Linked DNA regions of Arabidopsis thaliana. The protein of the gene in region 3 interacts with the protein of the main gene of each other region in a pairwise test. Each region holds a gene or a part of one and is shown on either strand. Other genes may lie near its edges.

Evidence for each region.
Region 1: the proteins of CYCH;1 (region 3) and KRP6 interact in a protein complementation assay, tested with the Arabidopsis thaliana proteins (one large-scale study listed by BioGRID).
Region 2: the proteins of CYCH;1 (region 3) and ICK1 interact in a protein complementation assay, tested with the Arabidopsis thaliana proteins (one large-scale study listed by BioGRID).

What each region holds. Positions count from the first base shown.
Region 1 is NC_003074.8:6,615,787-6,619,944, forward strand, and holds KRP6 (KIP-related protein 6), read right to left. Parts: upstream 2,166-4,158; 5' UTR 1,870-2,165; coding exon 1,576-1,869; intron 1,473-1,575; coding exon 1,417-1,472; coding exon of another isoform or gene 1,325-1,416; coding exon 1,148-1,324; coding exon of another isoform or gene 1,144-1,147; exon of another isoform or gene 906-1,143; coding exon 842-905; 3' UTR 544-841; downstream 1-543. UniProt on the Arabidopsis thaliana protein: Binds and inhibits CYCD2-1/CDKA-1 complex kinase activity. Regulates cell division which is crucial for plant growth, development and morphogenesis. May inhibit CDK kinases specifically involved in the G1/S phase transition.
Region 2 is NC_003071.7:9,976,047-9,979,625, forward strand, and holds ICK1 (Cyclin-dependent kinase inhibitor family protein), read right to left. Parts: upstream 2,045-3,579; 5' UTR 1,876-2,044; coding exon 1,678-1,875; intron 1,585-1,677; coding exon 1,541-1,584; intron 1,423-1,540; coding exon 1,156-1,422; intron 1,041-1,155; coding exon 974-1,040; 3' UTR 544-973; downstream 1-543. Other genes in the region: AT2G23440 (uncharacterized protein), read left to right, coding at 3,436-3,579. UniProt on the Arabidopsis thaliana protein: Binds and inhibits CYCD2-1/CDKA-1 kinase complex activity. Regulates cell division which is crucial for plant growth, development and morphogenesis. Functions in turning cells from a mitotic to an endoreplicating cell cycle mode.
Region 3 is NC_003076.8:9,769,746-9,775,401, reverse strand, and holds CYCH;1 (cyclin H;1), read right to left. Parts: upstream 4,100-5,656; 5' UTR 3,641-4,099; coding exon 3,581-3,640; intron 3,365-3,580; coding exon 3,314-3,364; intron 3,238-3,313; coding exon 3,159-3,237; intron 3,063-3,158; coding exon 2,950-3,062; intron 2,843-2,949; coding exon 2,769-2,842; intron 2,587-2,768; coding exon 2,466-2,586; intron 2,358-2,465; coding exon 2,289-2,357; intron 2,020-2,288; coding exon 1,978-2,019; intron 1,795-1,977; coding exon 1,717-1,794; intron 1,366-1,716; coding exon 1,307-1,365; intron 1,169-1,306; coding exon 1,084-1,168; coding exon of another isoform or gene 1,018-1,083; exon of another isoform or gene 999-1,017; coding exon 723-998; coding exon of another isoform or gene 718-722; 3' UTR 527-717; downstream 1-526. UniProt on the Arabidopsis thaliana protein: Associates with CDK-2 and CDK-3 and activates the CDK kinases.

The DNA of each region.
Region 1 (4,158 bases), on a different chromosome or scaffold from region 3:
AGATTAACCTTTTTTAATGCGTTACCAAAAAGCTAATCCACGTAAATATATCCTATGTAATCGTTTTTATATAGTATCACTCATTGATGATATTTTGTTACAGTAACACACTTCATTAGGATAAATTACTACTCCGCATAGGCCGCTTTTTGGTTTTATCTAATGAAGGCCAAAATGGTTTTAACTAAGTGGACCCTGTGTTTAGTGCCAAAATAGAGGAATATTCCAAAATAAAATAAAAGAATATTAGTGAAAAAAATAGAAAAAATATAATATTTGTATTTTGTATGATCGCAGTTTTTAGAGAAGTACAAACCAACTGTATTACTGTGCCGTCATGTCATGTACCTTTCCTCTTTTCTCCAATTTTTTTTTTAAAACATCAATTTTTGGTTTCAGATATTTTTGTAAATTGGGTACTATATGACATGAAACATTTAAATATAACATAAACTGCAAGTGTAAGAATAAGAATGACATGAGACAAACAAAAAATAATAGTTTTGAGTAAGATAAAATAATTGTAATAATTAAGCATCCAATGTTTTAAAAGAATCCAAACAAGAAGCACCTTTCTATATTCATGCACTTAAAACTCTGCCAAAACCATTTTTGATTTTAAAACAGAAACATAACAAACCAACGAAATCACCGTAATTAGTAGCCAAGATCCGAAATTTCATTATAAAGGTCGTGTTTTTTGTTTTGTTTTGTACGAACTAGTAACATAGGTTTTTAAAGAGAAATAGACTAGAGCTGTACAAGTGGAAATGTTAACCACGAAAAACAAAACCTATTTTTCTTTTGTCTTCTTCATGGATGGTATTTGCTTTTTGATGGCTTAAAGTCGATCCCACTTGTAGCGACCTTCAAGCGGTTCGTCATTGACAATATCGAAGTTGTACCTGTGCCAAAGTGTGTGTGTTCGTTAGGATTCTGATTCTCTCTCTTTTTAGGATATTTGCTAAACTACGCGTCGGTTAATCTTTTTATCATGCGCACGCAGACATTTTTACTCACATTCCTCTCTCTCTCTCTCTAGGTACGGACTCACTCCAATTTTTCCCAAACCCCAAAAAGCAAAGCGCACACAACAACAACAAGAACACACGTGAGAGAGATGATGAAATTGTAAAAATGGACTCACTTTTCTATGAATTGCTTCTTCTTATCGTCTTGACTCTCTAGCTCCGAGAACAAATCCTCAATCTCCGCCGCCGTTGGAGTCTTCCTCACCCCCGGTTGTTTTCTCTTCGTTGCCGATGATGATTCCATTTCTGTTGTCGTTTCTCCCAAACCCTCACTCACTGGACTCGTCTCTTTTCTGCCATAAAAAACAGAGAAAAAATCGCCAAGGAGAATAAAATCGATTGAACGTCTAATTTGGGGGGGGGGGGAAACAAAAAGATTATGAACCTGAAATTGCTGGTGATGAATGTTGAGGTTTCGGTTTCGGTTTCGATTTGATGATCCTGAAACACAGAAACGGAAATAAAAAATCAAAACGAAAACTGAGAAAATCGTCTGATTAAATCGATTCAAGTAGAGAGGAGTTATTTGATTTTGAAAATTCACCTCCAGATCTACACCAAACGACGAACTGTTCTTCGCGATTTCTTTCGATTCACTGGTGAAACAACCGGAGCTGATACTCGAGGACTGATCACTTTCTTCTCCACCGATGGTAACGGAACATTCATCAGACGCTAAAGCCGCCGACGAAGCAACGGAAGAAGATGAAACCGCGAAGACGATGACGTCATGAGAGTCCGGTGATGAATCAGAAGAATCATTAAGCTTCGTTTTCTTCAGTGGTGAGAAGCTTGTGCTTGAAGCTTCTTCTGCAAGCTCTCGCTTTCTCTCGCTCATTTTTTTCTCTCTTGGATTTTTGTGTGCTCTCTCTCTCTGCTTTTTTTTCTTTCTATTTCTGGTTCGCTTCTTAACAAAGCAGAGGAGATTTTGGTGGGGAAGGAGAGAGAATGAATCATGAGCCGTTGATTATTTCAACGGTTGAGATTTTATTTTCCTTGGTGAGCGGACGGAGGTTATGGTATATAACGGCGCCGTTACGGAGTTTCGCTTTTATTTTCTTACACAAACGCCGTTGAGATTCCCAAACGCGTTTTCTCTCCCTTTTTGCCGTTTTTGCCTTTTTGGCTTCCTTTCAAAGCAATTGAAAACGCAATCATTTTCGGTAGTTATGACGTAGTAGCAACGTAACAGTAGTCATTATTTTTTCTTAAAACGATTTAAAGTATGAGTAAACCACAACTCTATTTAATTCGATTTGTTTAGGAACAAGTCTTATTTGGTCAGGGTCTATGAGAACCATCGAACAAGTCTTTTCTCGTAATTGGGTTTTATATTTTATGAGAATCAATTAAAAGCTAAAACCAATGATGTGACATATATCGAGGGTATATATATGAATGGTTGAGGTGTGAATAGAGATTTGTCAAATTAGCTTGATCCCTTCCATTGTACGCGTTTTATCATGGTTTTGAGATGGATATGTTAACATCCAGAACATAGTGTTGAAATCTTTTAATGTTAAAACTATCACGTAATTAAGGTTAATCAACCTTTTTTGAAAAACAATTAGTTCATAAACTTACTTAGATGGTCAAATATCATAAGCAATTAGACAAACTATTCCTTACAATATTTCAAATGAAGATACTAGCTATAATTACACAACAGAAGATACATGGTTAACCAATTTATAAAATACTTAGAAAAGAATTGTGGTGGTCGGAACAATAAATTAGAGATACCTATAGCAGAAGATACATCGATTAACTACATTCTATAAAATCATCTGTACTATTATATATGTTTGTCGGAACATGTCTAGAAGCGCCTCGTTAATTTACGTTTAAAACAATACTATAATTTTGTTACATAGTCAATTTTGTAAGAACCTACATCTTATAAACCAATTATACAACTTTTTGGTTCGTATCATCACCAAGACCATGAAATCAATGACGAATCAAATAATGCTTGAATCTGGAAAGGGAATAACAGTTTGGGGTTTGCTTAGTAGAAACATCAATTATGTCATATAGAGACTAACTCAGCTTAAGTCTAATTAATCTCTTGTTTATGCTTAGTTGTCTTTTTGAAAGTTTCCATGCATGTGTAAGTTTCTTCCACTGATCAGATACACATCAACAACAGATTTTGTCCTCTATGTCATTTTAATGACATATGTATTATGAAATAATGTACATGTGTTAAAACCATAATATAGCACCATAGAGAATGAGCCATTAAAGCTCAACTAAACTGTCCGTACAGTTAAAACCAATTGTAAACAACTAAACTCAATTCTCGTCTTAAAGAGCCCATATATGTATATATATATACAAAATGGCCAGAACGGTTTACAAATTTAAGCATATACTATAATTAAATTTTAGTGTAACTACTTCTTTATTCTTCCAATAAATGGGACCATTTTCAATAAATTTTAGTAATAAAAGGAATCATCGAGTAATAATTAAGTGACTGATGCAACAACGAATTCGCTGACCTAGGCATTTATTTAGGAATTATTAAGACAAATCAAGAGGGAATGATATAATTCAAAATAATTTATTCAGTGACCATTGTAATCCATATGATCATATATAGTCCTGAATAGGGTCGTCCTAAACTTTTAAAAAAATTGATAGAACTTTTCAATAAAAATTTCGCCTATCATTTCAAATCTTTTCTCATTTGTATGAATATATAATAACACTATCAATCAATAATCAAATATTTTTTTGTTACATTGTTGATTAGCTAGTTAGAAAAATGTAAAGATAAGTTGATTTTGTATGTTAAGATAGTTTCTATGTCACTTCCTACTATTAATTTGTATGTTAAGATAATTTTTTACTATGTAGAAAACTCTATGTCAAGATTAAAATAATTTTGACTGCCAAGAAAATTTTGATTGCAATACTTAGATATAAAAAGAAAAAAAGTGATTATAACTAGTACTCGTAACCAAGTATGTTTTATTAAATATCGTTTCACGATCCGAATTCAAATCCGATAAAATACAGGTTATTAGAAAGAAAAAAAATGATATTCTAACGAGATAATACACTAATATTTATTTAATAGATCTTCCATGAAACAAAAGACCGGATTAAACCCTAAGAATCC
Region 2 (3,579 bases), on a different chromosome or scaffold from region 3:
AGTCCCTCATTTAACCTGTTTGTGATCTGAATTAAGCTTACATATACAAAATGGTCCATGATCATTTGTTTTGAAGATTTTCTGAAATGGTCCATGAAAGAGTTTTGTTTCCAAGTCTTCGGATAATTTGTCTAGTTACAAAATGGTCCTGCATCATTTGGAATAATGTATTTATGGCATTATCTCAAAATTCTCTAACCATTGGGCCAGTACAGTATGCCCTTTACAGATCTAAAGTTTTATTATATGCTAGTATTATTATAATTAAAATTTTGAAAAGTTTCAAACCAAGTTTCGTGTGATAGAATGTTTGTGATTTGTTATTAATCAATAAACTTTAAGAATAACAGAATCATCTTGAAATTCTGATTGGTCGAGCTCAATCATATTCGGTGCTGAATATGAAACAAAAAAATTAGTTGGTGTGGTTAGCTGACATGGTTGGTACGATTTTGTTCAACAAAAAACTGCACTGAAATTGTCGATTAGTTAATTTAAGTAGTAGAACAATAATAACTAATTTCATAGTACTTTTTAATCCATATCAAACGTTGTAAGAAATAAAATTCTAAAATAATTTTAAGCGTTTAGGGCGGTAAGATAATCTACCAAAATGCATTTGATGTTTTTGGTTGAATATTATTAAAACGGAGAAGACAAAAAAATGAGTGTGGTTGTACCTGTGTGGGGATAGAATTTTATCAGTCACCAAAAACATAAAAATGTACTAAAGAATATGCTAAAAGATACACAAGATTCGAAGAAGAGGTAAAAGTAGAGCTAAAAGACACGACTTTTCTGGGCTCTAAAATCTGTTAAAAAGCTTTCTTCTTTTTCTGTGCAATTTCGTACTTCTAAAAACATTCCTCCTACAAATCTTATATTTCCAAATCAACAAAATAAAATTAACTTATTCCCTGAAATATTAAAATCTAAAAAGTTAAAAAAAAAACCATAAACTTCTTCTTCTTCTTCACTCTAACTTTACCCATTCGTAACGTCCTTCTAATGGCTTCTCCTTCTCGAAATCGAAATTGTACCTAATTAAAAAAAAATAAACTCACTCTTAATTTTACCTCAAAATCAATTTTAAATTATGAATAAAAAATATATTATCTATAAAAATCAAACTCACAAAATAAAATAAAAACTTACTTCTTCTTGAATTTTTCTTTGAGTTGTTTCTCAGCTTCCACAAAAAAATCTTCAATTTCCGATTCCGTTGGCATCTCCGTCATCAATTTCGCCTTCTCCTCCTCCTCCGCCGTCACCGTCTCCTCCATCGTTTTCCTCCCGCTACAACAACAATCTAACGATTCTTTAACCGCCGATTCAAATTCCGATGAATAATTCTCCATGGATTTACTTAATTCTTCTTTCTCCTCCTCTCTCAGATTTTCAAAAAGCTTCCTCTTCGTACCCCTAAAATAACTCACAAGCAAGATTCTAAATTTATTGAAGAGAGAGTCAAATAAATAACCGGGAAAATAATAAAACCTTCAAAATTCAAATCATTTTCAGTTTTTTTTTTAACACTCACCGTCGATACGTCGACGTTTCAGTGTCACCATCTTTATCTTCCTCCTACAAAAATTTCAAAATTTCAAAAAAAAATACATTAACATTAAATGATACATATACAGTTACAAGAATCTAGAATCAACAACATTAAATAACCTCCAGATGTATTAATTCTTTCTTCTTATATTCATTGCTTCCACTACAAGACGACGAAACTCCATTATCACCGACGACGGAGACAGAGCTTGATTTTTCCGATCTAACATAAACAATTCTCCGGCTCCGTAGCTGCATATACGTTGACGAAACTCCAGCTTCTACAATTCCTTTAGCTTTTCTATATTTTCTCACCATCTTCGATTTAGGTTACGTGTGCGTGAAGTCACAATCTCTGTGAGAGAGAGAGATATGATTGAGAGGATGAGGAAGAAGAAGAAAGAAAGATGATGAATTTGGTTTTGAACGGTCAGGATTGAGTTTTGTGCTGTGTGTGATAGAGAAATGGCGTGTTTTAGTGGTCCCGTTACAGTGACGGGGAATCTTTAACGGGGAAACTGGAGGCGCCGTTATTTGGATGTTATGGAGTTACTTATGCCGATGGTTTGTTTTATTGACACGTGTCGGTTATAAACGGTGACTTAACGGAACGGGAGGCGTAATAATTGTGGTGTAACTAACTATTTTAAAAACCCTCTCATCTATTGGTAATTCACAGATTTGCCATTACGCGAAACCGTTTAAAATGTTTTAAATTATAATTGACAAGCTTTTTGTATAGTTGGGATGAATTTTATAGTTTAGGTAAAATTAGAAAGTTCATATTACTTTAAAATGAATTGGATAGAGACTATATATAGATTATGTGTATAGTATAGGTGGATTGTTACGGATAGCCTAAAAACTACGTACCTGTGAGTAAAATAAGGTAAAAGTAAAACTGACACTAGAAATTATATTTTTGTTATCCCTGCGTATTTGCTTAGCCTGATGTCAAGTTGTCAACAGCACGTGTCGATCGTGATATATTGGGCTTAATAAGTCATAATATAGTAAAGGTTTCTAAGAACTAAACTTGGCCTCCATCACTTCCCATGGGCCTTGTCAGCCTTTCTATGTTTTGTTTTTGTCTCAAAGCATGAACAAAATGGAGTGGCGAGTGCATTCAAATTACCATGTCTTGCTTTAAAAATTAAAAATATTTTTTTTTTCACTGAAAGATAAATATATACTTCATAATTTCCAACCAAACATACAAAAAAATGTGGATCAAGGACAATCATTCTAGATCAACCAGTATTACACTAGGCATTTTTTTCTTCCTCAAAAAGTTGTTTTAACCAAAAAGAAAACCTAGTTGCTACATACGATTAACGGCGATCATTTTTTGTTACGCTCTTGGCAATAAAGTGAGCATCAAGATTAGATCTCCTTAACTCACCAAGCAATTTTCAATCCAAAAAATTCCCTAGTTTCTCAATCAAAAGAAGGGACTGAAATTTACATGAAGGTCATGCAGACGACTTTTGTTTTAATTGAATAACATAAAACTTTTACTCACTTTACAAAAAAGTATGAATCTATAACCCTAGATTTATAAAGATATTAGAAAACTTTTTATAAATCTTAAATTAATAACAAAGAACTTTAATAAACTTTTTAAAAATCTTGATTGAATAACAAACGATTTTACATAATCGTTAAAGTTCTTTTAAAATCATAAACCAATAATACCCCCTAAATATTTAATTTATCTCCTCAAGTGTTGCGCCCATGTTATGTAAAATTTCATCCCTATAAATACATCAGATGGTCCAAGAGGTTTCATGCATCAATACATAATACATTTTCGCCTTCGACTAAATATTATAATTTAGCTTCTTTTTTTTTCTAATTCTCGTCTCGGTTTTTCTAGTAATGGCGACGATTAATGTTTACGTTTTTGCATTTATCTTTCTTTTGACTATTAGTGTTGGTTCAATTGAAGGCCGAAAACTCACCAAATTCACCGTAACGACGTCTGAGGAAATCAGAGCTGGTGGCTCTGTATTGTCGTCGTCA
Region 3 (5,656 bases):
TAACTACATTTTAGATTATTAGTTGAAAATAATCGTGACAAAAAGTTAGAGGAGAGAAAAAAAAAAAAAAATCTACAAAAAAAAAAAAATCTACAACACAAAATAGGATGTAGAAAATTAAAGATTTACAGTCAAAACAAAAAGATTTTTTTTGGGGCTCTAAGTTAAAGAAAAAAACTATAACATAATTGGCAACAATTTAGTCTTTAACAAATATATTATGGCTGTAAAAGACATTTAGCACAACCAATCAAGCATCTTTACAAGTTTCATTCACAATCCAAATTTTATTTTCGATGGTTTTTGGTTATTTAATACAAATTTTCATTGTTATTATTAGGATTTGATAGTTACCGCTACACTAGTCATATCCATTTGTTTCTGTGTAAGAACAGATGTGGTAGTAACTAGAAAGTATCAAAATGTCTGGAAAAACTTTTGATCATGTAAAAAGTTGATCATTATCGCAAACAAACCATTTTTGACGATTGTTATGTACACCAAAACTTAAAATAAATGGAAGTTTTGTTATAAATTCATTAACATCTTCAGAATAAACAAAACTTATGGCCAATATCATTGTTATACATAATCTGCTCAAATTTACTAGTAAGAACAACAACGGGGAAGAAACTATAAAAGACGAATTTCTCATTCAATAAGATTAAAACTAAACCAAAGTGCAAAGGAAGAATTGCTAATGGCAGTACGAGAAACTCAACCTATGGGTGGCGGTGCCCCGTTTGGTGTATCATTGGAGCTCCTATGGGACTTGTGTTTTGATCTCTTCTCCCGTTTCTTACTCCTGATGAAGATAAATAGAGAAGGGAGTCAATTGCAGAAGCAAAGCTTATGAAATATATATAGTGGTTAAAAGAATTAGTAGAAGAGAGGTTGTTAGTGTACTCGTCATGTGAAGAACTATGTCCTAGACAAGATTTTAGCTTCCGGTTGATATGCTTCATGTCCTTTTCACTTGGGCACTTGTAGTTCTTTACCTGAGATAAGAGAGAGCATCTAGTAAAACTTCCTTTTAGATATGCAAGTTTCATTGTTAAGATAATTATGGAAGTTAGTAAATACCAAATATTCGATGTTATCAAGTAACTTTGTAAGCTCTGAAGTCGTGTGCTCAGAGTTCGGTTGAGAAACAATGTTCTCTAGGTACCTGCACCAAATGCAGTTTAGTTGAAAATACAACCAGTAAAAAGCTTTGCATATACAGAAATTCAAGACCACGAGATTAATATCATGGAAAGATTAAAAGGGTAAATAATCGGGATGGATATAGAATAAGAGAAATAACCTATCAAAGTCAATCACTCCAAGAACCCCATTTGCAATACGTAACGACGCCAATGCCAACTACAAGGGCACACGTTCAAGAGTTGAGAGACAGTACAACAATTTGTGATACTTCTTTTGTTACATATACGCTAAAGAAAAACGAAAAATCCTGAAAGAAGGAACAAGGTGAGTATATATCGATAAGCTATACTACTATATCATAAACATTCATTAATTTCACTTAAATATCAGTCAAAGAGAAAACAAAGCACCAACTTTCATCCTAAATTTATGTCTTGAGTAGCATATTTAAAGCTTTACTGAAATATCCCAAACAATGAGTTTAACCAGATTCTTTGATGGATATTATTCAGTATCTTTAATCTGATAATAAGAGGCTAGGGAGACAAAATAAACTAGCATGCCCACCTGGCCAGGAGGAAAGAGGAGTGGAGCATCTGTGAGCATAACTTTATCGGCTTCTGCTGTCGCCCCTTTGAGCAAACTCTGCAGAATACTTGAAAAGTTATGCCAGTATGAGAAAATAATATTTCAATAAAGCCTGTTAAGTAAATAGACTTACAGCTATGATCACAAACTTACACTAAAATTTACATTTTGATCCCACATTCAGTTACCACATGCTTAAAATCTAGTGAAGATAAAGGAAATATCTGAAGATAGATCTACCTCTAGTTTTTGGATTTCATCATCTCTAGCTTGAAGAAATTCCTATAGGATGAAAAGATGAGGTTACTTTTGAAGATAGCGTGAAGTTCAACAAGGATGAAAAATAACACACCGAAAAAAGTATTGAAAATCTTGGTATATCCTATTATGGTTCACCAAGTTCTTGGCGTTAAGTTAACATTCAGAATTTTGTTTGCAACAAAACAATTGCCAATAAACTGAAAAAGAGTCTCATCACTATAAGATGTAAACAGAGAAAAGCCAGTTGAAATAAGAAAACCTACTAAGAAATTTAGACAGGACTGATTTACCTCCATGTTGTTGACAAAACCTTCGATTGCACGATACGGTGCATAAACAATCAGATCAAATTCCAAACTCTGCACATAGAGTTAATATAATATGAACAAAAGAATAGAGAGAGAAAAGAACACCAGGGAAAAATAAACATAGGGAAGTTGGTACAAATTAATTGACTCATATCATACCTGAAGAACAGCCATCTCGTACTTGAGAATTATTCGGTGATCTTGGTTAATCCCTTTCCCAATTTCCTCAGCAGATACATGATTCTCCTCTATTTTACAAGCTGCATACACACAGGTTAACCTGTTCAATGAAAGGTAACAATTAGTCCAAATTACAACAATGGACCATTTATGACTGACTTAAAAAGCCTCTCAGAGCTCAGAAATACAAAATGCTTAGCTCCATTTGGTAAACAATTTCAAAACTATTCTCTTGAAAAAAGCAAAGCTTTTGACCATTTTGAGGATTTAAAAGAACTATACATTATCTCTTTTGGATGATGTTGCATAACAGACCATTGCAGATAAAATCTCTTAAAGTATTGGAGGGCTGTTGCCTGCAAAATATTAGAAGGAAGAAACATAAATTCAGAGAGCAAACAAAAATCAGGTATTTTATTTTTAACTTCATCATAAACTTCTATCTCGACGAGTAGAAATGCACCTGAATCTTGTGAGGAAATGCAAAGGCACTGCACACTTCTTGGACCTTTGCCTCATAAAATGCTCTCATGAACCTTTCTTCATCAGCACTCAAAGGCTTAAGCTTCTTATCAGCTGAGAGTAACAAAGCAAAAAGTAACATTATTTAAACTTCGACAAACAAAACTATGATACGTATGAAGTAGATATTGAAGGAACCAAAATTTTTACCTTGATCTCCTGAACCAACTTTATCTTTAGGATATGTTAGTGATCCACTAGCATCTACTTCAACTTGAGTTGTTCCACACTATGAATAACAATAAGTTAAAATCTAAACATGAATACAGGACTAAAGCTCCATATCAACAATTATTCTAACAAACCTTCTCCAGCATTTGCACTGCCCTCTGGTTAGCAGCTTTATATCTCTCTGCCTACAATTACAACATTACAGCTTAGTTGCAATACCAATATCTCTACACAACAAGTAAGATAATAACAACAACAACACACATAACTAAGTAACAAAGAGTTCCAAATGCTCGATTAATCCGACTCTCTATGAAGCAATCAAAGCAAAGAAAATCCAAAGATGAACAAAATATAATTATAAAGCCGCATTGTAGTGATCAGAAGGAGAAGGGGATTACCAGTTTCTGGGGAGTGAAAATCCACTTGGCCCGTTGTGTTGATGTCTGAAAATCCGCCATTAACTGAGTTTTCAAAATTTTCGAAATCGAAAAATCTGAGCTTTCGAATTTCTTTGTGGAAAGTTCAGATTTTTGATCGAATTCACACGCTGTTGATGGCGATTATCCGTCTGAATCGGAAGGAGATTCTATAGATATTTCAATTTTGAATTTTAGGGCTTATATTAGAATTTAGGAGAAAAAATTATCTGGTGCTCGATTTGAATGGAGATTGGAATTGGATTGAGTTAGCTACGAGAAGAAGATGTTTTTGGTAATGAGAAGACGAGAATGAGGGAAGAGAGGAGAGCAGACGCAATATCTTGTCGGAATTCAGATGTGAAGACGAGTATGAAGGGAAAAAGAGGAGAGTACGGCAGAGCAATACAGTGTTAATGTCGGAAGTTGCTCATACGGCGAGATCGTTCCTGGCTTTGAGACTTGCGAGGAAGAAGAAACGTTGGTGAAACGACGTTCTTTCATGTTAAACAATAAACCCTAAGGTCAAACGATGTCGTTTAGCAAACATATTTATTATAAACGGTGTCGTTCGCTAACCCATTAAAACCCTTATTAACAGCCCTTTACTAACAAAAAAAAGAACAAGAATTTTCCAACCAAAAATAAGGTCATGGCTTAAATTTATGTTTCCAACCCTTAATAACACCCATACATGTGTCCAATTTATAGAATCTAAGTAAAAGTATAATATAGTGTTAATCAATCATTTTTTGAGTTTGACTCACGATTTTAGTTAGGTCTGGACATTCGGATTTTCGGGTCTGTTTAGATTGGGTTTTTGGGTTACTTTGGTAAAGAGATTGAAAATACATTTAGGAACTGAAAATATCGGTTGAGGTCTATTCGGGTTCGGGCTGGTTCTCAAATTTAATTGAAACCTGATATTGAACCTGAATTTACCGACAAATTATGTATACGTATTATTTCGAGTTACATGTATCCGTTTGAGTTTCGATATTTCAGGTATCTGTTCAGGTTTCAGATCCTACACGAACCAAACCAAAACCCCAAAATAAACACTTTAGATCCACTCGAACCAAAGCGAACTAGGTTTTTCGGGCTTCGGATTTTATGGTCATGCCTAGTTTTGTCCTTTGAAACATTAAAATTAGAAGTAAATCTACATATACATTTTTGCAGCCATTTTAGCAAATAAATTTTGTACTTGTATTTACAATGTCATGCCATTGACATTAAATATTTCCTGTCGATAATTAAATACAAGATATTATATTCAACAATAGTTGCCAAAGATCTTTCAAGATATATAATTGGTATTAATTATTCAGATTTGAAAATTTAAATACTTTATATTGCGCTCAACAAACGTTTCCAAAAATCTTTCCAACTTAAGTAAAAAATAATTATTATTTTTAAATATTATAGATATATTTTAACTTTATAAAACATTATTATTATTTAAACTTATAAAAAAATATCATGAGATGAGAAATATAGCGGGACGGGTTTGGATTGATATGAAATATAGTGGGACGAGTTTGGATTGATATAGCACATGTTAAATATTTATTTTATTATTTTATCATCACCATTTGTTTTAGTTATAACATTAATATAAAATTATAAAACTTAAATACTAAATTAAAAACCGTAAAATTTAATATTATTATATATGAATAAAACATTTGTCCGTGGTACACCACAGGTTAAATCCTAGTTGTTATTAAAGGTATTTCAAACATATCCATTTGGCATTGTTCTAGAATTTTAGTTAAGGAATAGTATATATTTGAGATTTTGTATTAAGGTGGGAATAAATTATTTCAGCCATTAGGATCCAAAATGACCCAAGAAAATAATCACTGAGAAAGAAAGAAAAAAAAAACAGCTCCAAAGTAAAAGGTAACCAAAGTTACAATGAATGATGACAAAAAAAAGTTACAGAATCAATGGTAACTAATTATCAACAGCCTTTGGAGCTGTTCAAATTATTAACTAACTATAAACTAAACTAACCTCTACAATCCAAACAATTAAATCTGATCTCCAAGTGTT